Caenorhabditis elegans: one gene and its partners. The protein of the gene in region 3 interacts with the protein of the main gene of each other region in a pairwise test. Each region holds a gene or a part of one and is shown on either strand. Other genes may lie near its edges. The genes, in order: daf-4, cgh-1 and edc-3.

Region 1 (12,220 bases), on a different chromosome or scaffold from region 3:
CGCCAAATATGATTGATGTACAAGACGAATAGAGAGAAGGAGCCAAATTGCGTTTACTCACTAAGAATAGATCGGTTCCCTCATGTTATTTTTTGCTGTTGAAGAAGGAGGAGAAGAGAAATTTCAAAAACCGTGAACTTTTGACTTTTAGCATGTGATCCGTCGGGTGTCGGCTGCTGCTGTCAAGAACTGGAAGCAGCCGACATTCTGCGGGCCCAGTAAAGATTGTGTGAGTGGAAAGCTTTTTGGATTAAAAAGCTAACATAAAGAAGGGCTAGGAACAAAAATAGGCGTCGGTTGGCTACTGCCGTACAAGGAAATGTTTTATGTTGAAATAGACGGAAAGTTGATAGTCAATAACAAAATAAGAAGTGAAGGAAACATTCTAACTAGTGGCAGGTGATGAGGCATATCAGCTGTCTAAAAATGGGTATTTCCGGATGAATCTGAAAAAAGAAAAATGTCAATTTTTCGTGAATAGCAAGAAACATTATTTAATTTTAAGTGTAAAAAATGAAGAATAAATAATCAACTGATATACAAAAAAAGATTCTTGTGTGATGTGAACTGCCAATACAAAGTTATCACAGATCAATGAATATAGTGAATGAATGAGAGAATATGGGGATGCCCCATGGGCTGAGGTAAGTTTTTGAGTTAGTTGGATGAGAGTGGGCAACTTGGTTGAGTGAGAGACAATGCAAGAGATCAGAGATTTTGGAAGAGTTTTAGACGACGAAGACATAGAACTTTTAGCGGTTCTTATATTGAACGTCTGTAAGTTGATATATACACCGGTTGTGCTCAAATTGAGATCATTAGGGGACGCGTAAGTAGAGACAAGGTGGTGGGCCAGCGGCGAGGGGCCCGTGAGGTGTCCACCGCTACATATAGACTAGAATAGGAGAGGATGGGAGTATAATCATAATATAAAATAATGTTAGATTTGAATGAATAGTTATGTTGTAAACGTTCCAAACGTCCCTGAAGGCGTTGGTGTCGACGCTCGAGTGTCTGCCCCAGCTTCGTATTCAACTTGCCGTTGAGCATTCATAAGGTCAAGCTCTTCTCTTGAGAATAGCATGTTCGTCGCAATATCGTAGATTTTCTCGACTATCGGGAGATCCGGCAGCTCTTCGGGCTCTGGCTCCGCGTTGTCTGGTTGGAGGATTCCTCCTGAAAAATAATTTTTGTTTATAAAAAAGGAAAAATAGCAGGCGACACTTTACTAGTTACGCCAGGCAAATAAGGTTTTGGAACCCGCAAAACGTCGGTTGCTCGTTGGTTCACGCAGCGGGCACTCTTAAAACATCAGTGAACTCACAAAACATCGGCTGCTAGGGACTAGCCAATCATTTCAGAAAACTGTTACCACAAAACCAATTAATTAGCCGTGAGATGTTTTTTAGCATAGCCATTCGTATCCCATAAGATGTCGGTCGGTCATTTACCAGCATCCTACATTTACCTACACAAACGTATAACTAGTCAGTGAGATGTCGGCTGCTCAAGGTTTAAAGCTATGCTGCATTGAGCATCCGACATCTCCTGGGAAGTCACCTAAAATTTAGAAACTGCTTTTCACAAGCAGCCGACATCTCACGGGTCATGTCAACTATTTATTCGATTCACTGTACACTCACCATTTTCAAGGATCACAGGAATCGGCGGAGGTGGTGGACACGAATCAAAAAACGGATTCGGACTAGGATGTTGTCTCTTGCTGGGTGACGACGCATGATAATGTTGCATTTCTTCGATACCCTCCGGCTTCTCACTTTGTTCAACATCATCAACACCCCGATTCTTCATACTACTTCCACTGTGATACCCCTCCGAACTGTCCGGTGAGCTCATAATATGATTCCATACCCTCGCGAACGCACATCCAGCTGTAATCCGTGCACACGCTTCGGGATCCCACATCTCTTCCGTAACCTTTTTTAGCAGACTCATATATTCATGTTTAATAATCTCATCTCTCCATTGTGGTCGTTCCTTCTTGCTCACCACATAATTTCTCATGAGACCAATTGTGGGATCAAATCCGATGACTTGAAACGGCATTTGGTAGTTTGGTGGCTCGTCGGTTTGGTGCAACTTGGTACGGGATATGACTTCCCACATGACGAGTCCCATCGAATAAACGTCCATCGCTTTGAAAGCAGTTGGCGTGAATTCGGTTGCTCCTTCGAGCATCTCTGGTGACATGTAGCGTTTCGTTCCCACTTGACCCAGCAAATCGCTTTGCTCAATGTCATAGCTGTAGATTCGGGCGAGGCCAAAGTCCGCGATGCATGTGGTCATGTCGCTTTTCACAAGAATGTTCTTCGACTTGATATCTCTGCAAAAAATTGGTTATTGAATTGAATAAGTACAGACATTAGAAACAGTTTGGAGCATACACTAACCAGCGTCGTGCGTCGTTGAAACTCGCTACCTGCTCTTAAAAGGTAACGTAGTGTTACTGGGAGCATTGGTTAGAATCTCTCCGATAGTAAACCGAATATCATAATAACACTTTGTACACAATTTTCCCGCGAAATTTATATTCTGATTATGTTCTAATTAACTCTAGATACTTTAGGTGTTCCAATGTACAAAATTGTTTGAATTTTTATTTTTTTTCTAAACCCTAACTTTTCGAAACTTCAACTGAAAATTGTCATGCGCCTAAAAATTGGTTTTTTTTTTTCAATATTTTACCCTATCATTTTGGACTCTATCGTGTGTATTTCAAAAAATATTTACTGGAAATTGCAGCCGACAACTTGTAGGTCCACGCTACTATTAATTGATCCTGAAAATGTCGGCTGCTCAAGCGCAACTTAGCAACTTCTTCCGATTTTTTCTAGGACCAACCTAGAGTAAAGTTCTGAGCATTAAAACTAGTTGGAGGGCGATCACAAGTCAGATCCATTAAAAATTTTCTAATTATTTTCATTTTCCACTAACCTGTGAATAATTGGCTTCTTTGGGTGTCCAAAGAAGTACGGCCTGTCGTCATGCAAGAATTGAAGCCCATCGATCATTGACATAATAATTCGATTGGCAGATGTAATACTAATTACATTATTCTTGAGTAACTCATAGAGACTAAGTCGCTCATGAAATTCGGTCACAATCCAATACTCATCACCAATTTTCTCGGCGCACACAAATTCGACGATACTTTTATACCACTTCGGGTACTCGTTAAGCTCATCAAAGATTCTTTTCTCCGCCAAAAAGCTCGCTTTTTGGAATTCGTTCAATTTCTTCACCGCAACCAATCGTTTCTCACCACTGTCTGGGGTGTATTGCGCCTTGAAAACTTTTCCAAAACGTCCCTTTGAGATTAACTGCAATAAACGAACAAATGTCATTGAGTGTAAGTGTGACGTCAATCAGCTCATGAAAAGAGCCTTCTGTTGTTTTCAACATTTTTTCTCAAAGATAAAGAAAAAGTAAGGAAAAGCTCAGAGTTCACAAAGTAGTGGACATCAAAAGTTTACACCGTGAGGTCGAACTTCCGAGCAAAATATCAAAAAGACGAACTATTATGAAGACGCGAAATATGTGAATTTTGAAATCAAAGTGCAAATGCGCTCCAATGCCAAATGAAAACGTTCCCCGACACTGTTAAAAAACCATAAATTCAAATGTTTTCAGAATTGTTCGTTGTTTTTAAGTTATGTTAACAATTGTTTTTGATAATTTTTAAAAAATTCATGTAAAGCTGAAAAGTTTCACCAATATGGTTTTTTTTTCAAAATTCAAATGTTGTATTCTAGATTTAGAGAGCATGTTTCAATATAAAATATCAAGCACGACTCTTGCGGTACCTACATACCTGAAAATCAGTGATCGGCAGCTCCTTTGGTGTCTCCACCATTTCAATCATTTCCTCTTCCGGCTCCACGAGAGGCACATTTCCAGCTTCCAGTGCGTCAGTTTTTTCCTGAAAATTTCGAAAATTGATTCGATTTCAAAAAAGACAAAACTCGCCATGTCAAATTTAATTTTCTGCTGCTTTTTTATCTCCTCCTTCTTATTCTGCTGAAATTTCCAACCAACGTATGCCAAGATCAAGAGTGCAATACAAAGGATCACTGACAGTGCGATTATGATGATCCAGTAGAATGGGAACTTGTCTGCAAATTCGCTCCATTGAGAAACTGACAAGAGTGGGGGATGTGTGGTAGAGGGTGTTTAGCACCTAGTTAGTACCCAGCTAGCCCCGAGACGTAGATGCAGACAGTACCTAGAGATTCCAAATCCATGTTGGATGGAGTTGAAGCCCACAGAAGTGCAGAATTATCCGAATCTGAAATTTTATCGGCTCTAAATAGGTGATTTCAAAATGTGTACATGTTTTTATTTGTATGTGTGTGTGTGTGTACAGGCATCTTCCACGGGTGCAAATTATTACGAAAAAGCGTTTGTTTCACTTTGCAACGACACTCCGCTCACTGGAGGGGAGGAGCCAAATAACAGCAGAGTGTCGTTGCGAATCGCCTCTAGAAACAGAAAGAACAAAAGAAAGTTGAAATAAAAAAGTGGTTTACTTGCAAAGCCACAAGAACAAACATAAAATTGCATGAATGGTGTGTGTGTGTATGTGTGAGGGGTAAGAGAAAATTAGGAGACAATCTGGAGAGGTCCACGTGCATTTTTTTCGGAGAAAATTAGGAAAGGGAAGAGAAATTGGGAACAAGGTTTATGACAACTGCAGGCTTTTACAGAGGTGGATTCTTTCAGGTTGAGGGTACACGGGGAAAGGTTGGGAGGAGTATAGCTAAAGTAATGGGAAGTTCTCCATATTTTTCTTAATTTCCGATTGACTTCCACCGGAAATTTGTTCAGCTTTGGCGCAAAATATTGTCTCAGGGCTAGCTGAACTATCTTTCAATGTTTGCCAAGCTCTCTCGAGCTTTCTTCTCAACCTCTGCTCGGTTATCCTTCTCTCTCATTGTCTCAACTTCAAATTTTATCATAAACGCGTCATAAGGTTGTCGCAGTTTGGACGAACGTTTGCTGAGATCCGTAGAGACCATTCAAAATTTTCTAATGGGGTTATTCAAGTAATGTAGCAAAATGCATTTAAATACATTTGTGACGTCACAAATGTATTTAAATACATGTTTTTATCTACTTGAATAAGGTTGTGACGTAATTTTTCTACACTTTTTAATTTTCCGACACTACTTGAATAACCCCATAACCTCTCTCCAACTTTTTTTTTCAACGCTCATAAATTAGTTGAAGATTCGTCGCAGCTTCCGTCTTCCATCTGGCCCGCTCCTCAACTCCTACTCTCGTCTTTCACTTGTCGAAAGCTTGACTCAGATTGATCACACTTCGCGTCACTTTCCCTATTACTGTGGCCGAGCTCAAACCAAACATCGCCAAACTCTCTCGAACTTTCGCCTGAACGCTTCTACATTAGGACATATTGCAATTTGGTGCTTCTCATTTGCTCGCAACGTTTGCCAACTTCCGTCCACTATCTCCCTACACTCGTCGTTAGTTTGCCACATTTTTGTCTAACTTCCTGGGAATTTTCTCGAATGTGCTCCAACTCTGTCGTATTTTAGTTGATGGGAGGCAACCTCCGTATGATGAACCGTATTTCGAAAAAATAACTAGGCACAGACACGCGTGGTTGTTCAACTTTCGTGAAAATTCTGCTAACTTAAAGCTAAATGTTTCACAGAAAACCTCTCATTTCAATGCCAACAATTTCTCCCTAGCCTCTAGCCCCAACGCTCACCCGAAAGAAGGTTATTTAAACAGAAAGTGGGACAGAAAGAAGGTAAAAAAGGTAAAAAGAAGGAGGTGATATATATGTATATTCACAAAAACAGAATCATTGCGTGTTGCTCTAGTATACTAAGAATGGGGTTAAACATGGGATATAGTGCTCTCTTAATATAATGTGCTCACTGACCCTTCTTCAATGACGGGTTGACCATCTCGATGAGATCCGGCATGTTGCAATTGTTGGTCGAACAGCAGCACATTCCAATTCCGCCGCGAAATGATCGTCCTTGGCGACACTGAAATTCCAGTTTTATGAGGTGCTCCGAATGCTGAAATATAACTTACGGAGCTTTCGTTCTCGCAGTTCATCGAGTCCGCGTGCTGATACGGCATACATCCCAGACTTTTGTATTGCGGTTTATCAACTTTCAGGTATGGTTCTGTAGAGTTTATCTGGAAATTTTAAGATTTTTGATGTTTATAATATGGATGCATATATCTATTATTATCCCCTTTACTCAATTAATCATCTTTTGAAACATGGGCAGCTAAATCCGGATTAGTTGGTTTGCACATTTTTAATGGATTCGATCAAAATTGGATTGATAAACTCAACAACTTTTAAGTTTGGTTTGAAGAGCTTTGTAGCAAAGGAATAATAAAGCCTTGATCATTAACTTTTTCCGCAGTATTTTTTTCAATTTGAATCAAGTTCCACGTTTAAATCCTATGTCGCTCAGTAAATTTTCAAAGTCGTCTTCAAAAAGGCCAAAACCTTGCTCATATGTATTTGTTTTCGATAAAACTAATGCAATTCTGATTTTAATTTTGATATTCAAATTCCATCCTACAAAACTATCAAAAATCACGAGTCATGTCACCCCAATTTGTTCCAGCTGACAAAGTCATAAGCCAGAATGGAAAAAAAAATGCAAAAGATACAAATACTTCCGCGGATGAAGAGGAAGAAGATGTCACTCATGAATAACAAATGAAACAATATATATAAAGGGCCCCCGTCATGTGACACAGTTCGGTCTGGGGGTGGCCGCCAAAAACCTCTTCCACACTAACCTCTTGCGTGGGCAGCCCAAATACGGCCAAGCATCCGACGGCTTTCAGATGAGCTTCACTGTAACACGTCTTCTTTGTGATTTCACAATCGCCACTCTTTTCGCATTCCATCTCGTCGTAGTACTGCAAAATTTTAAAGTTTAACGTTTTTACTACTGCTTTAATTTTGGGGAAGAGAGCCTATAATTATGGAATAGTGATAACACTTGAAAAACAAAAGGAGTTGTAGTTATTGTAGCTTGCGGGTTTGAACTTATCCCTTTTAGAATATCTTGGTACTTTAAAGTAACTATAGTTAATTGAAACAAGGATCAGTGGAATGTGGGTGGATTGGCTCTGCGACCTCTACAAGGGGAACAGGGCTCACTGGAATTAAAGTGTATTTGATCCAGTAATTTTTAAACAAACGGGAGAGTCACTGATTTCTGATCCCCAAAACGTCAACACTATCTAATGAGCCTAAATTCCATCAAATTGATCCAAAAACTTACTACACATTCAATCGAAATCACTTCATCCTCCTCATTGTCCATTCTCCTTAACGTGGGCTTCGCTGGTGCCGAGACCTTAATAGTGCCAGTTCCATTTGACTGTGCTACTTTGCTGACTAGGGTGTTAGCCCACTGAAAGATGGTTAAACCAAGGAGATAGAATAAAATAAAGAAGTTTACGACAAAAACACATTTTCTCAAAAAATGCTCACCTCTTTCTCGGCGGCTTCCGATTCGATTCGGTCCTGACGATCGTCTTCCGTGACTGCAACAGGAACCGGTGTGGCAATTAAAAAGAGTGGAAGGCAAATGAGCACAAGTGCCTTGAGACGTACTGTCCCTTTCTGATTCATCTGAAAATTGAAGGTAGTTGAATTATTGTAACGTTTTTTTTAAAGTTGAGGAGTAAAATAAATAAATAATTAAGATCAAATGTTTTATTGAGAAAAATAGATGCAAACTTATTTAAATAAAAAAAATAGGTCAACAAATTCAACTTGAGAAAAAATAAATAAAATTTCAAAAATTCGAAAATTCGAAAATTTCGATAAAATTAAATAAAATTGCCAGCTTTGCTAAAATTTCCAGCTAAAATTTTAAAAATTTAGTTTTGATGAAAATTAAATTTCTTAATTTCAAATAAAAGCAATCGAAATTTCGGATAAAAAAATTTCGAATTTCGACATTCGAAATTTCCAATTTTTTTAACAAAAAACTTTTCATTTTTTTAAAATAAAATGTTTGAATTTTACTTCGATGCACCATGAGAGTTCAAAACTTTCAACTAAAAAATGTCAACCAAATTTTTCAAAAATTCCGTAAAAATAGGAATAAATTGCACAATCTCCATCAAACGAAAGATGTGAAAAGTGTTAAGGAAGCACAAAAAGTTTGCAAAAAAAATGAAGTGAGAAGCACACATCAGAAATGAAGAGAGAAAAGAGAAAAAGAACGAGGAAACAGCAAAGATTGGTACACTCTTATCACTTTTACAAACTCTACTCTCTACTTTTTGTTTCAAATAAAAAAAGGTTTTCATTCAATGTTCTCTAATAAACAACAACAAAAAATCAAATGACGTGACAATCTGACCTACAAGAACCTTACAAGAGGGGCTCGCTGTCCTCTTGTGCTCTTTTTCTCATCGGAGGGGGCTAAAGTTGGGCGGGGCCCAAACAGAATGAAGGCGGGATCTTCCGGGGTCTATAGAACGGGAACTTTGAGAAAAATATAGTATCGATGAACACCTGCACCTTATAGGAAATGGGCGAAGTTCGGACTAACTGGACTTTCCATATTTCGGTTCCCAAAATACACTAGCAATTCGAGGAAAAATTAAATAATGTGCTATACACATGTAATGTAACCAAAAAAAGTTTCTCAGGATTATATTTCGTGCGTGGTACCAGGAAAACGTATGTTTTTTTCAGCAGAACGGAATTGGAGTAGGCGTGGGCTCGGCTAAAAGTCTAAAATGAGATTTAGGCTTGGGCTTAGGCTTAGGTGTTCGTCCAAGTTTGGGCTAGATGTCGGGCGCTAAGTTTCAATAAGTTTTCTGTAAAACGTACGAAAATAGAAAGTACCACTCAACGTCATCCTTTCCTTCTTCTTATTCAAAAACATGTCACCATTCGTTATTTCAGGTGAATTTATACTTTTCCTCCTGCCTCAAGCCTCCCCGTCACATTGAATCAAGCGACTTAAGTGGGAGAAGAGAATGTCAAAACGAATATTTTTTGAACATTTTTCATATATTTTTTGTGTTTACCTTGACAACAACAAAGCACTCGCTTTTTTCTGGGTATTATTCACTCGTTCTATTTTTGCAGCAAAAGCCGAAAAAGAAAAGGGGGAAAAAGAGCGTGAAACTCGGCGAAATTCACATGTGACCACGGTGGGTTTGTTGTTGTTGCAGAAGAAGGAGGAGAGGGTAGCAGCAGGCGTGTAAGACCAAAGCTCTCTTATGTTAGATGAAGAAGAAGAAGAAGGAAAAGAGCAAAATAGTAGGAACCTGAAGGCCTCGGAATACCTGAAGGAACCATCGAGTTCAAAGTAAGAGGTCGAAGAACAAGCAATATTGCTCACGATGAGTACACGACGGTTTTGAAAATTATATGAAAAGAGATAATTGTCAAGAAAAAAAATAAATTATTCGAATTTCAATTATTAAAAAATACATACTACCTAATTCGGCGGGAACTAAACTTATGTTTACTTTTTCAAATTTTTCCGTATAACTAGATCAAATTCAAAACATTAGTTCAAGTACTCCTCGTGAACAACCTGTATTTATTTTTCCAAATAATCATTTTTTATTATTTTCTTCCATGAGAACATTTAAAATTGTAACATAAATCTTGTAGCATTTTAACTTATTTTTCGCAACTTTTTTTTTCATTTTCAAAACAGGAAATGTCGCAAAAATTATGGGGTTAGCTACCTATAAGAAGAAAATAAACTTGATGTTGATGATGGGTCGAAAGTATAAAAATTTTAAAAACAGTTTTAAATCTTCAAAAAAATCAATATAAAAGACCTCCATGAAAAGGTCCAATCGTGTGAGAAAACGTTAAATTGCAGCAAAAAAGTGTGGTTTCGCTGTCGGTTCGAGGTTAAACATTAGTGAAAAAAAGGACACAACTTGTTTGCTTTAGTTCTTCTCATTTGAAAAAGAGAAAAGAGAGATAGTAGTGAGAGAAAGAGAGACAAAACAAAAAAGATTGGGTACTTATCATCAGTTATTCAGTGAATTAATATTATTCATGGTCAGTGGGAATAAAAGTTTAAGATTTTATATGAATTTTGCGATTATAAATATCAAAAAATATTAACTATGAAGTGATATAACTCAGAATTGGCAAAAAAAAATAGCACAATCATTGCTCAAATATGTTCAGCACAAACTTTCCTACAATTTGTCAATTGACATTATTTTTCCTAACTCTTACGGAAATACCTCGACAGCAAAGTACTCCGAAGTTGCAAACAACTTCACTAGAACTTTGACTACAAAACACAAACCGTGAAGAACACTTCCGAAAATAATTTATTTGGGAAAATGATGGTCATTACCAGCCCGCCCACGACGCACTCCAAATAGGTCAAACGATTTGCAGGGAGGGTTGAAAAAATGTTGAAAAAGTCACATATAACTTTTTTTGCAGGACACTCAGGGGGAGATGTTTTAAGTGGTCAGAACTTGAACAGTAGATCAGAAATTAGCGGAAAGTGAACATGGATACTAAACATACAATTTTCTGGAATTTCCATAATTGCCAAGAACATTGAGAGTTATCAAGGAATGTTAAAGGGAACCGCATAGAAGCTAGAATGTATCATTTCTCTATTCTCTCCAAAAAAAGAAAGAATGGTAAAATTTACTTAAAAATTCAATTAACAAAATATTTGTCAAAACGTTTGCTATATCTTGTAAGTTGGCAACCCTTTTCAGGCGTGCAAGAGAAAAAAGATAACGAAGCTAAATGTTTGACATTACTAAAACTGTTAGAAAAAAAGATAGAAAAATTGAACGAAAGATGAAAAAGTGTAAAGCAGGAAGAAGGTGAGTTTGCAGATTTTTGACAATCAGAAAAAGTTTCAAAGTTGCAAATTATGACAAATTGGAGCTTTCAGCTTGAGGAGAAAAAGAATGAGGTTGTCAGGGAGATACACTTCTAGTATTTAGTTATTCTCGGCAATGTTTCGGCAACCGCCATTAGATGCTAAAATTGCCCAAATAGCTCTATCGCAAATACCATTATTGCCGATTGCCTACTTGAAAGAAGAAAGTAGGTCGACAACTTTTCTGCAACTGGCGAGCTCAAAAAAAGGTACACCCGGGAAGCAGTATTCACCCAACGGAAATTAGAAGAGCAAAAAGAGAGAGGAAGAGAAAAAGACGGTGAGGTGGAACCTGGGTGCCTCATTTTCCCGCGCAATCATTTAGTCGATGTGCCCGGGCATTGTGAGCCGTGTGTTCGGGTCGTCAACTGGGAAGAGACGATAGAGAGTACACGAAATGAAGAGACGATGGACTTGCATTTGTCTACATGTCTGCGTTTCAGGCCTCTTTCGTACGCCTAACTTTCTCTATTCGGCCGCCCGTGTCTCTTCTTCCTCTCCACAACAACCACGCGTTCGATTTGTTGAGAGAATAATTTCAGCGCTCTTTCTGTCTTTTTCTTTTTTTCTCTCTATCTCTCTTTCTTCCTCATACACTGCATTTTTTATGAATTGGAAAGAGGATATTGGGAGAGAAGATGATTATGAGGAAGGAAAGAATAACACGAGATTATGCTGCATAAATCGGTGGTTTGGGGAGCAAATTTTTAGTGATAAGCAATAATTTTGCTGATAGTGAGAATTTCCATTTTTCTGCCAAGCAGCCTCTAATAAATGCCGAGTGTGCAGACTTCGGCAACTGCCAGAATTTCTAATTTGGGAGTGTTGAAAGTAGTAAAAGCAGTTTTCTACGTGCCTACCTACGTGCCTACCCAAACATGTAGGCATGAGAGATTGTTCGCTTTGATGCAGGCAGGCAAGTATTCTTTGCGTTTGCCTCAAGCCTTGCCTGAGCCTGCTTGCCTGCTTGCCTACGTAACCTACGTACCGCACATTTATATGTCTACATGTACAAAATTAGTTCAAAAAGTTAGAAAAATGTCCTTACCAACCTTGCCCCACCTCCTTACATCTGAACTTTGGCCGATTTTATCTCTGCCACTAGGATACTTATTCAAATATTGTCAACTCCAGGAAATTTATGATGAGCATTTCGTGAACTTATAATTTTCGATAGCTGTTGTCGCCAAGGAAATTTAAGTTCTTAAAAAATTATTTACATTCAAAATAGAATTTGGCCTCATAGGTAGGTAGGTATGTCTTATTTAACTGTTCATAATTTCGACAAAGCG
Region 2 (9,668 bases), on a different chromosome or scaffold from region 3:
TAGACATCCTAGGAAATTATATGAATTTAGTTTGTCTTTTTATCTTTTTATGGAAAAATGATAAACTTTTATTATTATTTCCAAAGATCAATTAAAAGCATAAACTATTTCAAAATGTATAATATCACTTCTAATAGTAATAGTTTTTAAGTAGTCTATAGTTTGTTTTTTTTCCTTGCGGTTACTAATGGTAAATGGAACATCGAAAAATGAGTAGACATTGAGAAAATGAGAAAAAAATCCAGTTTTTCATTATTCGAAAGGTTGACCCAATGGACCTAATGGCATTTCAACCTCTTCTTTGTCCAACTTTTTCACTTTTTACGCCCATTTTGCATTTTGCATGAATTCACAAATAATGTTGCAATTATTCAAAAAAAAATTTATGTTTCAAAACTACATAGGTTTTGACATTTTGCCAAGAGTGAAAATTAAATTTCTGAAAAATCTTGAACATTTTAAAGTATTTTATTTTAATTTGTAGCCTTTTTGATCAACTTTAAGTTTATTTCAAGAAAAAACTCCACTTTACTGTACCTTCAGAACTTTGACGAAAAGTTTTACAAAATAGGTATAGCTCCACGTTAAAGCTCTTTGTAACTCAAAAATCCGATCAAAAATTGTTTAGTGTAAAAAAGTGAATTTGAAATTTGAAAAGAATTTATTTAGAAATGTATCACACCGTCCACTTCTCCTTCATTTCAATTCAAAACCGTTTTTCATTCTTTTTTTGACACTTAAGTGGTCATCAACGCTGTTTAGAATATCAATACACTTTTTTGCGATATAAATGGTCAACAAAAAATAATGAGGGAAAATGAAAACAATTTTTTAAATAATAAAGTTAACAAATCCTTCTATATAAAATATAAAAACCTTTGAAGAATACTGTAATTTTTAAATTTCGTTGCTGCGGAATTAATTCCGGAATTTTCATCGATTTTTCATATTTACCATAGTTTTTCGATTAAAAATATTTATTTACTAAAATACTAATACGAAACAATTAAGACATTTAAATTTCAACAAATCGTGAAACTATGAAAAATCGATGAAAACTCCGCATCACCACAAGTTTGAAAGTACAGTAATCTTTCAAGGCGCACACCCGTTTACGTAAAACTCGCAACATTTCGCGTCTGGGCAATAAAACTTTGTTGTACTTCGCATTATTTTCCATTATAACATCATCAACGAAAAATGAAAGACTATTTCAATTTATTAATCGGGCGCGTTCGTCTGGAAAATTTTCTGAAAATGGTCATTTTGTACAATGCAGTAAATGTGAGTAATACGAGACTAACCTCGTGATTTATCGATGGAGTTGGTCAAAAAAGTTATATTTTTATAAACTTTTGTTATTTGATTAAAATTAAAAAAAAAGATGCCTAAACCGTATAAAAATCAGAGAAAAAAATAGTTTCGATGCCATCACTTGTCTCTCTGCGGATATCGCGCAAAGAATTCCAATCCAATTCAGACCGGTTCGAGCCGCCTGTCATCGACGGATACGGATTGTTAACATTTGCATAATATTACAAAAGGCGAGGATATACATATAGAAAAGCATATGAGAAAATGAAACTAAAAAGAATTTTCAAAGTCATTGCGGTCGGAATCCGAATACACACTAATAGATTAATGTAGACGTTCCGACCTCTCCCGTCACCGCAATATCAACTAATATTACTGTGCGCGGCGCGCATTACTGGTGCCGATACGGATGGGCAATCACCTCTCCGGATGACACATCCAAGAGAGAAACAGTAAATTGAATACCGACCTCAACCATTGCCGCTGGCTGACTGTCAACACATTCAACGCCTTCCGCTGCTGTTGCCAGGGAATACGAGAAACGAAAGTAAATCGTCGCATTTTGTTACTTTCATTTCACATGGTCTTTCACTCGGGAAATGCGCTAATGTGCTTTAATGTATCTCTTGTGGGTTTTCGGTTTTTCTCAAGGCTTTCACTACTTTCCTCTTCATATGAAACTCTGAAAAGAAATAACAGAAGACGATGTTTCGATTCGGTCTTTTATTGTTAAAGATGGCAATCATCCAGAAGGAAGCTTGCACATCCTTTGTGAATCGAAAAATTGTGCAAATTTTTGGTGTCAACTTCTACAAATTATACAATAAACAAGAGGGAGGAGGCGGGAGAGAACAAATGGTTTTGGAATGGGGATGGGGGAAGAGCTGTAAGCGAGACACATGGCCAGCCGGAAGCCTTCCAAGACATTATAGTCTTTGAGCCATTTGACATGATAATAGTTGCAATAAATATCTATCAGATTAGGAGATGGACAAGTTGAACTGGAATGAGCACAAGAGCGGAATAAAACCCTACAGATGGGCAAGGGAAAACCGCAAGGATGGTGGTTTTAAATTTTGGATGCATTGGTATGGGGCATGAAGGGAGAATTGTGGGAAATGAGATAGGAAATTACAAGATTGATCAATGTGGTGCGGCTCAACAGAATAACTACAGAGCCGGCTACCCAGTATGATACACGTCAAAAAGAACCCGATGTGTATGAACAATGTCCTTACACTCCCAAATATATTTTGCAACGACACATTAATGTCGAAACAATTTACTTTGGGAGCATAAAGACCAACTTAAATGACTATGTAAAACACAACGACTTGAATGAGTTACAGTCCATGACTGCAAGTTGGAGGGTATGGGGAAACTAATGAAAAAGAAAAATTAGAATTTTACACCGCATATAAGTGGAACGGGTTGATGGGGTCCGGGAAGGTGGATGGGATACAAATAATGTGCGGGGATTTGAGAAAACAGGAAGGAAAGATGCTTATGCTTGAACAATATTAAATTTAGCACAAACTGTGCATTTAAAGGAAAATAGAGAACATACACAATCTGGACGAGATCACTAGAATGGAAAAAAAAAACGTAGGCGACCAGTGTGTTTTGGAGGTTTGGGGATATGAGAACTAGTGTTTAAGCAGTGGTCTCATCGGCGGCATCGACGAGCTGCTGGTCAGCGACATACAGCTTCGGGTCAACCGTTTTCGGGATGGGCTCAATGCGAGTACGAAGCTCCTGCTCGATACGGCGAAGGGTGTGACGGTCTTCGTAGGTGATAAGGTTGATTGCAACTCCGAGGTGACCGAAACGTCCAGAGCGACCGATTCTGTGAAGGTAAGTCTCGGCGTTTCTTGGGAAGTCAAAGTTGATGACAACATTGACAGCCTGGATATCGATACCTGAAAAATTACAATTATGCATGAACTACACTTTAAAATAAGAAAAATGGCGCTCAGATATCCGTTCTTCAATTATCTCTTCACATAACTTCAGAGTGTGTGTATGTGTTATCAATCCTCATCGCGCAAATTATTTAGTCAAACTTACCACGGGTGAGAAGATCGGAGCAAACCAAGTTTCTGCAGTTTCCTTGACGGAAGTCATGGAAGACACGGTTTCTGTGATTCTGAGCCATCTTGGAATGAATGTAGTAGCACGAGTAACCGATTTCCGTGATTTTCTTAGCGAGAAGCTCAACACGTTGAGTAGAGTTACAGAAGATGATCGACTGGTTGATTTGAAGTTTTCGGAACAACGTATTCAAACAGTGGACCTTTTGCTTCTCTTGAACAAAGGCATAGTATTGGGTGACACCAAGAAGAGTAAGCTCCTCCATGAGGTTGATCTCATACGGCTTGTGCATGTGCTTCTGCATGAACGAAGTGACGGTGTTAGGGAAAGTGGCAGAATAAAGCATAACTTGACGCTCCTTTGGGAGGAAGTTGATGAGGCGGTCGAGAATTCCCTGTAAACGAGAATTGTTATCTTATTCAAATGTTAATTTTTTTACCTGGAAGTCTTGACTAAGAAGTTTGTCAGCCTCGTCAAGAACAAGTGTTTTACAATGTTCCATTTTGGCGACTCCTTTCTCCATAAGATCGAGAATTCTTCCTGGGGTGGCGATGACCAAGTGAACCGTTCCGTTTAGACGCATGATATCATCACGGAGATCAGTTCCTCCGGTAGTGACCATAACTTTGAGCTGAATGTGTTTGGAGAGCTCCACGCAGATCTGTGAAGTTTGGAGAGCCAATTCACGAGTTGGGACAATGACCATGGCTTGAATAGCTTTGAGGGCTGGCTGGATCTTCTCGATAACAGGGATACAATAAGCTCCGGTTTTTCCTGTTCCGTTCTTAGCTCTTGCGAGAATATCTTGACCAGTGAGAGCGACTCCGATGGATGCTTCTTGAATAGGACTCGGTTTTTCCCATCCTTTCTCAAAAATCCCCATGAGAAGATCGCGTCCAAGGCAGAAATCCTCAAACTCGACTCCCTTCGTATCAGTGACATCCTGAAAAATGAAATGGTCACAAAGTCATATAGGCTTTGCAAACTCACAGCAGTTTTGAATCTTCTGTCTTTTGCTGGAAGATTGAGACCAGCCTTCCAGTTTTCGTCGCCATTGTTGGCAGGAACGATCTGTTGTTGCTCCGCTCCACTCATTTTCCGATGTCGTAGTAGGTTTGATTTCCTGATGAGATCTGTAAAATCGAGATTAAAGTTGAGAAGTTGTTAATGGTGTAAGTTGAGAAGTTGTTAATGAAGGAAGATAAGTTTTTAATGCGAAAAAATGATACCTATCGAGTTTACTACAATTTTGTTAGTCATGGAAAAATCATTCAAGCATTTTCAGAACAATTAGGAGGAACGCTAAATAACACTGAGATAATATTTATGCGAGACAACCGGTGTCTGTCTCGCGCTCGTATACACACGATCAATGACGGTTAGAAAAAGCAAGCGAGTGGTCGGCGGCGCATAGAGACGCACAGACACTCTTTGGGTTGCTGGAGTATCTAGCCAACAGGGTAGCCGATGTTTGACGACGTGGCAATTGACAAGAAACAATTTCAAAAGGTCAGAGAATCACGACAATTTTTTATTGATACCTTCCAGTTTTTAAGCGACTCTCCAAACAATAAACGCGAAAAAGTTTATATTTTACATTCGAAAGTTTGAAAGAACACTTTTTGTTATCGTTTTTTAAAACAGGTTTCTGAGCTACGAAACTGATAAAAATCTTCGGAAAACGACTGAATCTATCAAGAAAGTGTCGATAACAGATTGGAGCTGCCATCGTCGCCTAAAACTCTTAGAAATCTAGAGAAGAAACACAGAAACACGTGGAGAACAACGGCCAAAATGAAGGAAATGTGCGAAGAAACGAGAGTGTGGAGAGAAAAACTGTGAGAGCGACGGGACGAGTAGGCCAAGCTGCTGCGAGCGACGAGTGAGAGGCATTTCGCTGCGTACATTCAACACACAAAAGTTGAATACTCAGCCAACGCGCGAAACAAAATGGCGGTAATTCAAAATTAGATTTCAATGAAAAACTTTACGAAGATTTGATGCGAAATTTCTTGAGAATAATAATGAATTAAATATTAAAAAGAATATACCAGCGTCGATGAAAATTTATTAAAGGATAATTAGTTCTAAATGTAATGAGTAATGTGATTACTTTATCGTTTTTCGATTTCCTCATTTTTCTAATTCGAACTCCTCATATTCAACCAGAAATCTGTGATATGCGTCACATCTAGCTCCGTGATGGCAGTATACGATGAATATAAGAAACCGACACGGTTGGATAACACAATTGAAATACGCCAAATCCACAATAGGCAATATTTTCGAGCTGCCAACAAAATAAATTGTTCCGAAACAGGACACATCCACCACCATTTTTATAAACTGAAAATCTTAATTGAAAACAGGAGTCAAAAGAAACGTTACATTTGTGGTAATCGTAATAACATTGAGACGTTGGACTCCATTGTATGATATAAAATATATAACTATCAAAATGCTTGTTAGAAAAAATAACGAAAATTGAATGTAAACAAGTGACAGATACACGAACGACTCTGTCTTCATATCTGCAATTTTAGTTGTTATATTTTTCCACTTTTTATTTTCTTACAGAAATAAGCAGATCCAAGATAAACCGATTGGTACCAAGTTTGTAAAGCTTCTAGGCAAATCATGTTTATAGCAATAGGACTCCAAGATCCCTTAAAATTATTTATAAAGGCAGAAACATTACAGATAACAAACTTGATCGAGATTGAATAACGGCGGAGGAGATAGACTCATAATTCTTATATGCAAATTATTTAAAAATGGTTTGTTATTTTATTTATGAATTATATGATTTGAACGTTAAATGTTAATAATAATATGAAATTGCGTGTAACTCATGAATTGAAATTAATTACGTTATTATTTTGTTCTTTCTTTTTTCAAAAATAAAATGTTTCCTTACTTAAAAGTCGCGCCGAGATCCGAAAACACGCCAAAGTGGTTGCTGGCGCGTTTCATCATAATTGCTGACGCATTGTCAGTGCCTGGTCCATTTACTGGGAAAAATCTAACATTTTAAATTATTTCCCGGGAAATTTCCCCGCAATATGAGTATGGAATGGTCCAAAAAGAGAAAGAAAGTAAGTTTCCTTGTCAACTTCTAAGTGTCACAAGCTTTAATAATACCGATTTAAAAGTTTAGACATCTGACGATGAGGAGGCGAAGTTGAACGATGCTTTGTTGGAGTTCCAAGCAGACTTTGGACAATCTTCGTCTGTTTCTTCTCAGCCTAAAACTTTTCTGAGAGGAAATGTTGTCGAGGGAAATAAGATTTGTAAGAAAATCCATTTGAAAACTATATAAACTGAATTTTCAGCTGCTGGCGACGGTGGAATCTATGCACCAAAGTTTTCAATGAACATTCCGTCTAAAACTTCGAACGTTGGATCCAAAGATTTTGATGAAGCGAAAAAATTAGCAGCCGCGAAGGTAAAATTAATAAATTTCATGCGCTTAGTTCTTCACATTGTTTAAATTGGTAGAGATGTGTTCGTTTCTTAACGGATGTTTTTAGTGAAATAAGAAACACTATATTCAGGCTCGAAGGATGCTGGAAGACGTAGCACGAAGCAAAAAAATGACAGAAGTGCCGAAAGTTGTCGTGCCAACTACGAGGCCGTTTCAAAGACCCCCGAAGCCTGGCAGCTCGAAAGCGAAACAAGATAAGCCAAAGATCAGTCAAATGGAAATGTTTAAAATGGAATTGCAGAGGTATATTGCTAAAAAAGAATTTCGAAAGAATTATATCCGTAAAATTTCAGAGTTCAAGAAGATCGAGAAAAACGGAAAGATTTACGACATCATCTGGAAAAAGTTGGAATGGATCAAGCTGTAGTAGAGAGATTGGCTCCAACAGTTGAAAGAGGATTCCAGGGAACGTCGGAGTTTGACGATGACCCGTATACTACAAATGTATATGTCTCTAATATTCCACATTCAGTAACGGAAGACGATCTATTATTTACATTTGGTTCGTTCGGACCGTTAGCCGCACTGAAAATTTTGTATCCGAGAAGCGAAGAAGAGCGAAGACGGCCGCATATTTGCGCGTTTGTAGCATTTATGTCTCGTGCCGATGTGGATAGATTTATGGCTGAAGTTCGTGTAATCATCGTTCGGAATGAGCCAATTCGTTTCGCTTTTGCTCGTCCTGTCCAGATTCCTGCTATTCCTTACTACATTCCACCCGTACTTCATGCCCTTCAACATCCCGATCCAACTTCAAATTTACCCTTCAATGCACAACCGGATTGTGCTGATGCCAAAAAGTTTCTAGAAAAGTACAATACATTTCCACCGATGCATGCATTGCCAACAAAAGGACAATATGGGTATGAGGATTTCACAGAACTGATACGGAATTCACAAATTAGAGTTGTTGTCCCCCCGGACAGGAAGCTGGTCAGAGTAATGGATCGAATGGCCGTTTACGTTGTAACCGAAGGACCTCAGTTTGAAGCTATGATATGTGCAGAAGAGTTTCAAAATCCAATGTTCCAATTTCTTTGGGATAATACCAGTGCTCTTCACGTTTACTATCGATGGAGAATTTATTCGTTGCTTCAAGGAGACACTATTGAAGAATGGCGGCGCACTCCATTTCGAATGTTCGAAAATGGGTCATGGTGGATTCCACCGTATCCCATCAATGAGTTAAGAGATGCAATGCCAAAAGAACTGTATCATATGAATTGCCTTAGAACCTATCCGGATAAATGGATGAAAGTACGTGACGGAGGTCAACGAAGAGGAGGTGAGAGCTCAAAGAATCGTCGGAACTCGGATGCTGAAAAGGAAGAACGAAAAATGCGCAGGGAAGAGGAAAAAGAACGGAAACGAAGAGAGAAGAATGAGAAAAAGAGGAATAATCGAATGTCTGATAAACGACGTGATAAACTGGAGACATTGATTCGAGAGCTGACCCCTGAGAAGACGTCGATAGCCGCTACGATGGTTTGGTGTATACAAAATGCAAAATATGCAGCTGAGATTTGCGAGTGTGTATATGATAGTCTGACCATTGAGGATATCCCACTTTATAAGAAAATTTCGAGGTAATTGACTTTTCACTTTTAAAAAAGTCTGCAAAAACACACATGTAATTCGTTTAATTCGGGATTATATTTTTTATTTCAAAATTAACTCCAAAAATATGAAGCTAAGATTTTAATTGAGCGTTTATCTGCTCAACTTCAAGTTAACTTCCATAGTTGTGCTGATATAATATTTAATTAATTCAGGCTCTACCTCATCAACGACATTCTATCGAATTGTGTACAACGTAATGTTCGGGACGTTTTTCTCTATCGTTCTCACTTCGAAGCTCTTCTGGAGAAAATTTTCGTTGCTGTCGGGAAAGCATATCGGGCGATACCGTCTCGCATCAAACAAGAGCAATTCAAGCAGCGCGTGATGTGTGTTTTCCGAAATTTTGAGGAAATGGCTGTATATCCTACAGATAAACTGATTCATAATCAAAATGTATTCCTGGGACTCATTGAAATCGGAAAAGAAAAATCGGAAGAACGGGATAACCAAAAACTGGAAGAAGAAGAAGACGAAGAAGACTTAGATGGAGTACCTCTCGAAGAAGAAAAATCAGTTCAAAATATGAACGAGTCTCTTTACGATGATGATGGCATCGACGGTATACCATTACACGAAGAAGTAAAACCATCAACGTCTACTTATTCAACTGCAAGTAAATTCAAACCTGTTGAGGTTAGTTCAAGAATCACACCGTAATTATTGATGACTTTTTACATTAAGTTCCATTTTAGTTTAATTCTAAGAAATGCTACTAATAATTTTTCTGCTGTTACTACTCAATTAATTTCAGTCTCGAAAACGTGATGGCTCCCCTATATTTTCTTCAAAATGGGACCACGACGGCCGAAAGTCGAATGAAGAAGAGGATGAAGACATCGATGGAGTCATGATTACAGACGACACGACTTCAGAGAATCTACAACGAGATAGTCTTTCTCCAGGAGAAATCAAGGACAAAGAATCTTCATTTACCGTGCTCACACCTTCTGATGAAAAACGAAGAAAGTTGATACGAGACGTTGAAGTTCGTGCCATCGCCATGCTGGATGATTTAGAAGCTGACAGAGATCCTGATGCCAAGAGAAAAGTTGACGAGTTTAGAAGGTGTGAAATGGAAAAAGTCGAGAAAGCATTGCGAAGTGGAGAATCTAAAAAGAGTGATGAGAAAAGTGAAAGAAAGAGCGAAAAGAAAGAAAAG
Region 3 (10,197 bases):
TTCTATTGTTTTATTTATATTTGGCTTTGGTTTTTATACAACTACATCAAATTTCCTATGAATTTTACTGACTAATCGTTGCATTTTTACTCTAATTTTTTATAATGATGTTGAATCTCATCATTTTTACCTCTTTCGAAATGTTCACCCGAATCTGTATACCTATATGTGATTTCAGATGTCCTTGGCATTTAGAACCCTTTCGTTCGGTATTAAAAGATCACAACCGAAAAAGAAAGATGCCGATGATCTTAACAAAAAGAAAGAACTATCAACGATCACAGAAGAATCGCTTCGGAGATATGACGAACTTCGTGAAAAAATGATCGGAAAAGTCGAGTCAAAAATTGAGAAAAAAGTGAAGAAAAATAAAAAGAAAGGTTAATATTGTCTATTTAGTATAATACTTATAAACCATTTGTAATATTCAGCGTCGATTGAAATTCTTGCATCACGAAAGAGAGTACATGATTCTGACGGAGATTCTGAAAATGAAGTGGAGGAGACCGTTGGCGACGTGGAAAAGAGAATGCAGAAATTGGTGAGATTTCTACAGAAATTTAATTTTTATTTGAAAAAAAATCTTCAGCTCGACGACATTCGCCGTACCAATCGAATTTTCACTTGGGGTGATCATCTTCCTAATATTATTCTACGATTCTCCGATTCCAGCATGTCACCATCATTGCTCAATCGTCTATCTGAGAATTCAATCCGTCAACCATCACCAATTCAAATGCAATCAATTCCATTTATGACTGAGAGAAGAAATGTTCTTGCTAGTGCTCCCACAGGTAAAGACTTGAAAAGAGAAAAACTTCCAATTCCGGCTGTTCCAGGATCAGGAAAAACGTTGGCGTTTGCTCTTCCAGTCATCGATGAGATTCTCGAATTAAAGCAACGTGCTGATTATTCATCCTCTAACTCTTCGAAGCTGTTGGCAGTGGTACTCGAACCGACAAGAGAACTAGCAGCACAGGTTCTACAGAATTTATAGAATCGTAATCAAATTTAACGATTTTCAGACTTACACCGAATTTTTGAAATATTGCGCCAATACTTCGATCTCAGCTGCCAACTTCAGTGGAGAAGAAACTGATATTCAGCATGCAGATATCCTCGTGTCAACTCCAAATCGTATCGTTTTTCATTTGGATAAAATTGATACGTCTTCATTAAGGTTTGCATTTGAACCATTCCCTAAAAACTTTGTTCATTTTTTCAGATGGCTTGTCGTTGATGAATCCGATCGTTTGTTCGAGGTTGTTGAAGGCCAGGACAAGTGCTTCCGTAACCAACTCGCTGCAATTTACAAGGCTTGTGATGCCAAATGCACACGTGTCGCATTCTTCAGTGCCACATTTTCACATGAAGTTGAAAAATGGTACGTTTTCGAAGATTTGTCATATCAAAATTCCATATCTAAATTCCAGGTGTAAGGAGAATATCGATGAAATTGGTATGGTATGTGTTGGTGAACGAAACTCGTCTAATACAAGTGTGAAGCAAAAGTTAACCTATTGTGGAACTGAAGATGGAAAGAAAATCGCTATTCGAAATTTGTTGCGAACTTCCTTCAAACCACCAGCTCTAGTTTTTGTACAAAGCAAGGATCGTGCCGTGCAACTGGTGAAATTACTGTCTGCAATTGATTCAAATCTAAAAGTTGATTCAATCAACAGTGGAAAAAGTGATAAGGAAAGGGATGAAACGATGGAAAGGTTCCGTCGAGGAGAGATATGGGTTCTCGTTTGTACTGAATTACTTGGAAGAGGTCTTGACTTGTCTGATGTTGGATTGGTTATCAATTATGATTTGCCAACTTCAATTGTTAGCTACATTCATCGTGTTGGAAGAACTGGTCGTGCTGGAAAGAGTGGTCATGCTGTCACATACTTCACAGATGCTGATATGAAGTATATTAAATCAATTGCAACTGTTATCCGTCAATCTGGTTTTGATGTGCCGGAGTATTTAATGGAAATGAAAAAAGTCTCGAGGTTTGAGGGTAATCCTATTGTTCTGAGTACTCAATTTTTAATTCAGAGATCGTAAAAAGGATATGCTCAAACATGCTCCAAAGCGTCACAAAATCGCCATTGTAAAAGAGCAGGTGATCAAGAAGAAGAAAATGTTAGCAAAGGCAGCCGCTGAGGAAAAAGCGAAGAATAAAACTGAAACACAGACAGCGGAGAAACCAGAGAAGAAAATCAAGAAAAAGAAGTTGATCAAGAAGAACAATAAGAATATATAAATGTTTTGCGAATTTTGCGCTCAATTGTTTTGTTGTTTCAGTTGAAAATTGTTAGGATTTTTTTGTTTTTTTGTTGTTTTGCTGTTTTTCGTTGTTGAAATAATCGAGTCCAATTTAAAAGTTTTACCATTATCTCCATTTTATCCAGAACATAGTGTTTTTAAGTTGATTATAATGTATTTTTCATTGAAACTATATTTTAATTCACGCCGAAGCTGTTATGATGTTCTGGACGAAACCGATTTTTTTTTTGAAACGGAGAAGAGAAAGCGCGCCCCACCGTACAAACGAAAATATCGACGATTTCAGCAAATTTCACAAGCATTCAGTTTTGTTTGGTTCTTGTCCAATAAATTTCTCGATTTCTTTTTTTTCTTGTCCAAAAAAAAACGTTTTATTGAAAAACAAACTAATTCTTTTTCCTTGTACTCGGCTTCTGGTTTAGAGCAGAAAACTCATTTAGAAATATAAAATTTTAATTATTTCATTTCTTACTCGTTATGATGACAATAAAGGAGAATTGAGTCGAATTTTCCGCGGAAAAATTCTTTATGACGACTTTTCTTTTCAAGCTTCGTAAATAGCTTTGCGTTTTACTTTCGTTACAAGTTTCGTTTATTTTTCAGTTCGCGAGCAATGGGACGTGACAGAAGTCGCAGTCGCGATAGGAAGAGACGATCCAGATCAAGATCAGTGGAAAGAAGGCGAGAACGAAGTAGAAGTCGTGAACGTCGAGATGCTCGCAAAAATCGCGACGAAAAAGAAAAGAGAAGCAGTCGAAGCAGAAGTCCGCGCGATAAACGAGATCGGCGGGAAAGAAGTCGATCACGGGATCGAAAAGAACGTGATCGTGAACGACAAAAAAAGGATCGTGAGCCAAAGAAACGAGAGAAACAAGAGGAGATCAGTCTAGAGTCGTTACAAAGTGGAGCAGACGATGAAGCGATGATGGCTGCAATGGGATTTGGTGGATTCGATACAACTAAAAATAAACAGGTATATATTTATTATCTTTGAATATTCTTCCACAAATTAAAATTTTTTAAAGATTTATAATTTTTCAGGTCAATGACAACGTGGATGGCTGCGTGAACATCAAGAAACCTCGCAGATACCGCCAATACATGAACCGAAAGGGAGGATTCAATCGTCCACTTGATTTTATGGGATAATTTATTTTTTTGCAATAATTATTGTTTTTCTTTTCAATTTGATCTCTTTCATTTAGAGAATAATTCTGTACCCAAATCATTTTTATTTCACCGGAACGTTATTTTTAAAATAAGAACTTTTAAATGTTTTGTTCTTATTTATATTTTTCCGAGGTTCTATTCCTTTTTTATCTTTTATCGCTCTACGGACGATTCCCCATTTATAATTTTAATTTTAAGGTTCCAATTCTTCTGATTTCAAATTAAAAATGGATGACAAACTCATTGGAAGCGTCATATCAACCGAAACTAAAGATGGAAATGTCTATCAAGGAAAGTTGACAACGTATGATACGAATAATGGGAATTTGACCATGGCGAATGTTATCAAGTACGATTTTCAATAAAATCTTTAATTAAATGTGTTTTTTTTCAGAAATGGACTTCCTCTTCATCGTTGCTTTACTCTCTCGTCGTCAGACATTAGTCGATTGAAAGTGATTAGAGGCGCTACCCAGTCAACTCAAAAATCCCAGCCCTTGCCAGTTCAAAATTCCTCAAATAGTGTAAATAAACAGAGACCTTTGAAGAAGTCTGCGGAATCTACTGTATCTTCCACTTCCACCGCATCTTCTTCAGCTTCTTCAGTACCGGATTCTTCTCGCAATCGTTCAGTTGCAGTTTCTCCTCAAAAATCGGCAAAGGGGCGATCACCGAAAAAATGTATGATTAAAAAACGTGTTTTATCTAACTTGAATACCTTATCTTAACCGAGAGTAAGTAAAAGTTGAAAAAAAAATACAAAAATTAAATATTTTTTGAAGGAGATATGTATTTTTCCAGTTGCGACAAATGTTGAAAAACTCTTTGAACATCACTCGACACCATCCAAGCTGACTCTTGCGAAGAAACAGAGCCGTCAATCACCAATGCACAATGGATTCTCTCATGTATGATAAATCTATGATATATTTCTTTTACCAATAACATATTTCAGACAGCTGAAGAAATTTCAGCAACACCACATTTCCAAAGTTTCGATCGCCAAGTTCCGAACCCAAAAGTTTTGAGCACAATCGCTTCGAATGGGGGAAGATGTTCGAAGAAGCAGGGTTAGAATTCTAATAATTTGAAAATCAAAATATAAGTTTCGATTTTCAGGACCGTCTGGAAATCCAGTTCTTGACGCTCTCAATCACTACAAGGGAATTGGTGGCCGAAACAAGAATGATCTCGCTGATCCAATCGATTTTGATTTGGATTCAGATTTTGATTTTGCGGAAAATTTGAAATTATTCGAGAAAGATGTGAGATTCTTCATGAAATTTTCTTGTTTTAAACAAATATTACAGGAGAATGATGACCAGTACTATGAGACAGTTGAAAAATTTAAATGCTCTCAAAATTTTGCTCACTACGAAAATATAATTGACGATGAGAATCGAGTGACCTCGTGGACAAATTTGAAGGCACGATCTGAACTTGTGAAGACAGGAACGACACCTCAGACATCTGAGTTAGTTATTTAATGAATATTATGAAAATAGTTGTAATAATTCTAGAAAGAACAACTTCCGAGTTACTGCTGTGAGTTTTGAGAAGTCGATTATTGGAGATCCAATTCCTGCAATAAGTTTGAATGAAAAGAAAGAATTTTTGAATGTGAGAGATTTCCAATAAATTAGTATATAAAATTGATGTTCTTTTAGGAATGTAGGGTTTCGTTAGGAGAAGCTGTCTACGACACAATCGTCGCCGATCGCATCTTCCAATGGGTCTCAGAAGTTCAAAATTCGTATGGTGATGCACATGGAACTGTAGTTCTTCTCGCATCTTCTGCAAACTCTGTTCGTTCCATTCGTCGTCTGCTCACCCATTTCGACAAGCGACGTTACAATTGTCATTTATTCGGAAAATATCCAGGAGAGATCTTTGATCATGTCAATGTGGTCACTGATGTAAAGATGCTTCCGAGAGAAGTTCCGGTCAGGATTTTAGATGTATTCGGAAATATTTATATTTTGTTGCAAGTATTAAAAAAACAAAAATTCTTGCAATAACATTAACAAAAAACCGAAAATTCAGAATTCTGATGATTTTTTAATCAAAAAAACTAAAGTTTTGCTGCAAAAGTCGTATCTTGCAAATTTTTGCGAAAAAAATCGTCGAAAAAACGAATGTTTTCGATTGTTAAAAAAAATCGAAAAAATAAAATTTTTACATCAAATGTTTGCCGATTTTGATGAGATCAAGAATACAATTTGTTGGAAAAATAGAGAAATGACCGAAAATTTTCGATTTCAATCAATTTTCCAAAAATATCGAATATCGAATAACATCCTTGTTCAAAAATTCTCACAAAAAAATAATTTTCAATGTAATATTTGCAGATAATCTGTATTCTCTCACCAGTCGTCAACGACGATGTTGAATGTTGGCTCCGTGCTCAAAGCAATGGAGCTTCTTCTCATTACGTATGCATTGAAAATGTTCCAAGTGTTCTCGAACCATCTCGATGCCATTTGCTTCAATTTGGATGTGCTACAAACGGACTTCGGCATGCGGAACGTAAGGTTCAAACGATAAATCGTGGAGGTATCACTTTTGAACATTTGTGCCAGGGTAAAATGCACGAGGAGACAAGTTCTATTCTTGTTGGTAAGGTTTACTTCTTCTACTCAATAAATTCAAAAAAAAATTCCAGATAGTGCCATTGCTGACCTCGGATCTCCATCGAATTGGTTCGACAACACATCTTCCAAATTCATTTCTACCGCATTCTCTACAACTTTCCTTGTCAGACTTTCACAATCCAATTAGTTTATTTAAAACCCTTTTCCTGTTGACATACACTTTTTTTATTCGCCCAACATGGTTCAGTATCATTTTGATTTTTCTCCAGCGATCCCTCTATAGTCTCAATCACAATGAATCGAGTGATTTTCTTTGTTCTCAAAATAGTAAAATTCTTCCATAAGATATCCCAAATCAAACCAAATCGTGTAGTTTAGCATTTGTTCTCTTTCTCTAAAAATCCCACAGTCGGCGTTACTTTATCACTCCAATATCATTTTTCTTCCCTTTGGCAAGTCGTTGGAATATATCGGTGGTTTCGTATTGTCCCGTTTGACTTGCACATTTCCATTCTAAGAACCAAAACTTTTTGAATTTTGAAATGTATCTTCCATTCCATATTCTTGCACAAATCTTATATTTTGATATACCTTATTGTCCCAACCACGTCTACTTTTAGCACCGAAAAATAAAATATTAGAGATCGAGAATTCATGTTTTCAATTTAAATTTACAAAAAGTTTTAATTCCTCCAAATTATCTCTTTTAATCTCTAATTTTTGAAATTATTATTCTGCTTTTCAGAATTTGAATTAAAAATAATGTAATCAAGAGTCTCAAGATGCCGGAAAATAAAGAAATAATTACGATTTTCGAGAATTCTAGAAATTATACAAATTTAACCAGTGAAAGGTGAGAAATTTTCTAAATTCTAAACTGAATACCGCATACCGTTAACAATGCAATGAAATTAATGTATAATGTGATTGTACATGCCCTTTTATTCTATCCATGAGCTCATTTTTGATTTTAAAATTCAAAAAATCTCCACAAGAAATACTTTAATGTTTTCTATTTCTAGCACTTATTCGTTGGCCGGTGCACTACTTCTTTCTGGAAAATATATGAATGATTGGTGGGAAATCACATTAAGCATATTTCTTTGGATGTCACTTTCTTTTATGGTAAGTTTTGGAAACATGAAATATTATTAAAATTTCTAATGTTCCAAAAATTCGAAGATTTGGCATTTTTGCATTTCCAGAAAAAAAATCTGTGTATTATATTTTTTTGGCAATATTATTAACACTTCTTTCAAAGTGGCTAGGATTACTCCAAACTCCGAGTCCCTACTTCTAAACACCTTTTAATTCACCAAAATGCCCTAACAAAAACTGACTTTATTACACAGACGAAAAATTGTTGGCAACAATACTGTACCCGGTCTCGATACGACACATTTTTAATAAATGCAAAAAGGTGTGTTCTGTAATTTAAAACTCCTGCCTACGGGTTTTTTAATTTAATTAATTTATTCCTTTGTAAAAAACAAAAATAAATAACGATAAAAACAGATGAACGCACACCATGCACTCAACAAGTATATTAGTCGTGTCGAAACTGGGGTCTGTATTCTTTGGCATAATTTGCTACGGGTAATATGACATATTTTATTCAGAAACTATTTTTTATGTTTCAATTGTTCCAGGTAATTAGTCTCGGAGCCACAATTCTTTCCCTTTTCACTCTTCGAAAACATCCATACGTTTGCTTTATTCCAATTCCATTTATCAGTAAGATTCTGAAAATCTTTTTTTTTTCATAATTTCAACTTTTCAGTAATGATGTTCATCATTCCTTTCGTTTTTGGTGCTCCTACGTCAATGGTTCTCGCACTGGCAATGTACGCTTCGAAAAATGTACGTTAAAAAAAATTTACTTTTCAAGAAGTTAAAAAGTTGAGGGAAAAAACATTTTTCAGGCTGTGAGCACTTGGTATTGTGCAATAATGGGTATCATTCAAACTCTTCTGATTTTCGTGACTTCTGTAACCCGAATCCACGCGACGCTGTAACTTATTGTGATTATGTAGAAACGATTGCTTTAATAAATTTTTTTAGTTTCTTTGTCTATAAAATCTCGAAAAGAAAAAACCATATAAAAATTTCCAGAAATGAACAGAAATAATGGGAATCGAAAGATGGTGTAGAAGAAGAAAAAACAAAAGTCTCGGGGTGCTTATAGTTATGCGAGTGAATCAGAGAAGACTTATCGAACGATTTTGTGGTTCATGCCAATGGGATAGGAGTAAAGCGATTAAGGACGCGGGATGGACTGGTGGGTAATCTATACAAAATTGAAAACCGAAAAAAGGTGTCATTAAATCATTACTAATCATCAAAGTGTTTTAGTGTCTAACAGCCTGTTTACAATAAGAAAAAGAAAATAGAAGGGGAAGTAGCATTGAGCATTTATTCGAGGTCTTTAACACGGGCACAAACATCAGCGGTGAATGAAGAGCAAGTTCCAGTACCTCCGAGATCTCCAGTTTTGGCACGTCCATCAGCAATTGCATCAAATACAGCCTTTTCGATACGAGCAGCGTGTTGTGGAAGGTTCTGAAAATGAGCTTGTAAAATTTTTAGACCGACTACGATATAAAAACCATGTAACGGAGCATCATGACGGCAGATAGAAGAAGAGCAGTTGGGTTTGCTTTGTCTTGTCCAGCAATATCTGGGGCGGTTCCGTGAACGGATCTGTAAAGAAATTTGGTAAGTTTTGTTTGAATAAAAAATTGTATTTCGCTATAAAATAAAGTTTTCAGGTTAAAAAAAATTAGATTTAAATTTTATTGAGAAGATTAAAAAAATGCAAGATTTCATCAAATTCAACTTTTTTAGTATTTCCTACTTTTATAATTTCGTATTTTTTGCTTTCGATTTCACTTCTATGTGTTTATCTGAAATTTCAGAAATTAACAAAAATTCTAAACTGAGTTCATTTCATTTGTCAAAGCATTTTTTAACAAAAAACATACTCAAATACGGCGGCTCCTTTTCCAATATTTCCAGATGGGGTGACTCCGAGTCCTCCAACAAGACCAGCGCACAAATCGGAAAGAATGTCTCCATACAAGTTTGGCATGACAAGAACATCGTATTGTGATGGATCCTGGACCATGTTCAAGCAAACTGTGTCGAGGTAGGCTTCCTAAAATTATAGATTATAAATTTTAACAGGAAGTGGTTTTTCTTTAAATTCTATTATTCATACCTTGAACTTGATATCTGGGTAGAGGGCAGCTTGCTCGCGGCAGATGGACAAAAACAAACCGTCGGATTGTCTCATAATGTTGGCTGTAAAAATAATTGTTTTAATTTTCTTTTTCAATTTATATTACCTTTGTGGACAGCAGTCACAACTTTGCGCCCATTTTGACGAGCATACTCGAAGGCGAAGCTGGCGACATTGCGAGAAGCAGTTTCAGTAATAAGCTTGATAGATTGAACAACTCCCGGGACAATCTGAAACAATTATTAGGTGATACATTTATTATTTAATTTAATATACCTCGTGCTCAATTCCAGAGTACTCTCCCTCTGTGTTCTCACGAATTGTGACAACATCGACATTGTCGTACAATGTCTTGTGTCCTTCAAGGGAACGGCATGGACGAACGTTGGCGTAAAGGCTAAACTCTTTTCTCACAGCCAAATTCAAAGATCTGTGTCCTTTTCCAATTGGGGTCTCGAGTGGTCCTTTAAGTCCAACTTTGTTCTGAAAAACGTAACAATCAGAAATAAATGTACAATTTTCAAACTAACCGCGTGCATAAGCTCGATGCAACGACTTGGAATACGGAAGACTCCATCGCGTCCCTTAACTGGAGTCACATCAACTGGGTCCCAAGCAATCGGGGCATCGGCGGCCTAGAAATAACATGATGTAAGACACACGAAATAATTGAAAATTCACCTCAAAAATCTTCTGTACAGAAGCTGAAATTTCCGGCCCAATTCCGTCTCCTGGAATTAAAGTGACACGGCGAACCTGAACAAAACTGGCTTTTTTATAAAGTTTCGAGGTTTCTTACGTCTCCGGAGCTGTATCTGATGGATTGTCCGACGGTAGACGACGCCTTTTTGATGCACTTGCCAAGCATTCTGAACCCTGGAAACAAAAATATTTGAGATGGAAGGAAAAATTGAGCGAGAA

The links.
Region 1: the proteins of edc-3 (region 3) and daf-4 interact in a two-hybrid assay, tested with the Caenorhabditis elegans proteins (one study listed by BioGRID).
Region 2: the proteins of edc-3 (region 3) and cgh-1 interact in a two-hybrid assay, tested with the Caenorhabditis elegans proteins (4 studies listed by BioGRID).

The regions. Positions count from the first base shown.
Region 1 is NC_003281.10:5,620,582-5,632,801, reverse strand, and holds daf-4 (Cell surface receptor daf-4), read right to left. Parts: upstream 7,661-12,220; coding exon 7,520-7,660; intron 7,440-7,519; coding exon 7,308-7,439; intron 6,940-7,307; coding exon 6,817-6,939; intron 6,196-6,816; coding exon 6,088-6,195; intron 6,039-6,087; coding exon 5,930-6,038; intron 5,859-5,929; exon of another isoform or gene 4,596-5,858; intron 4,307-4,595; coding exon 4,244-4,306; intron 4,134-4,243; coding exon 3,988-4,133; intron 3,941-3,987; coding exon 3,833-3,940; intron 3,342-3,832; coding exon 2,956-3,341; coding exon of another isoform or gene 2,931-2,955; exon of another isoform or gene 2,704-2,930; intron 2,345-2,703; coding exon 1,644-2,344; intron 1,177-1,643; coding exon 959-1,176; 3' UTR 480-958; downstream 1-479. UniProt on the Caenorhabditis elegans protein: Involved in a TGF-beta pathway. May be a receptor for TGF-beta-like ligand daf-7. Controls the decision of whether or not larvae enter a developmentally arrested state, known as dauer, in response to environmental conditions.
Region 2 is NC_003281.10:7,493,295-7,502,962, forward strand, and holds cgh-1 (ATP-dependent RNA helicase cgh-1), read right to left. Parts: upstream 4,539-9,668; 5' UTR 4,501-4,538; coding exon 4,396-4,500; intron 4,349-4,395; coding exon 3,845-4,348; intron 3,800-3,844; coding exon 3,382-3,799; intron 3,361-3,381; exon of another isoform or gene 3,283-3,360; intron 3,234-3,282; coding exon 2,968-3,233; 3' UTR 2,026-2,967; downstream 1-2,025. Other genes in the region: C07H6.9 (Serpentine Receptor, class Z), read right to left, coding at 5,539-5,751, 5,794-5,936, 5,981-6,071, 6,115-6,153; sap-140 (U2 snRNP-associated SURP motif-containing protein), read left to right, coding at 6,468-6,500, 6,563-6,695, 6,738-6,850, 6,960-7,132, 7,183-8,475, 8,662-9,142, 9,261-9,668. UniProt on the Caenorhabditis elegans protein: Probable RNA helicase required for oocyte and sperm function. Also required to prevent the physiological germline apoptosis mechanism killing essentially all developing oocytes.
Region 3 is NC_003279.8:8,598,480-8,608,676, forward strand, and holds edc-3 (DFDF domain-containing protein), read left to right. Parts: upstream 1-3,645; 5' UTR 3,646-3,674; coding exon 3,675-3,796; intron 3,797-3,841; coding exon 3,842-4,128; intron 4,129-4,248; coding exon 4,249-4,355; intron 4,356-4,402; coding exon 4,403-4,517; intron 4,518-4,566; coding exon 4,567-4,712; intron 4,713-4,757; coding exon 4,758-4,921; intron 4,922-4,967; coding exon 4,968-5,067; intron 5,068-5,114; coding exon 5,115-5,390; intron 5,391-5,795; coding exon 5,796-6,063; intron 6,064-6,109; coding exon 6,110-6,225; 3' UTR 6,226-6,683; downstream 6,684-10,197. Other genes in the region: ddx-52 (putative ATP-dependent RNA helicase DDX52), read left to right, coding at 179-380, 432-541, 590-794, 840-979, 1,026-1,180, 1,226-1,384, 1,434-2,000, 2,047-2,254; snrp-27 (U4/U6.U5 small nuclear ribonucleoprotein 27 kDa protein), read left to right, coding at 2,891-3,250, 3,319-3,426; F43G9.13 (Vesicle transport protein), read left to right, coding at 6,821-6,891, 7,061-7,163, 7,688-7,772, 7,819-7,898, 7,961-8,053; idha-1 (putative isocitrate dehydrogenase [NAD] subunit alpha, mitochondrial), read right to left, coding at 8,451-8,597, 8,645-8,738, 9,020-9,192, 9,256-9,338, 9,383-9,506, 9,553-9,759, 9,807-9,911, 9,958-10,032 and 1 more.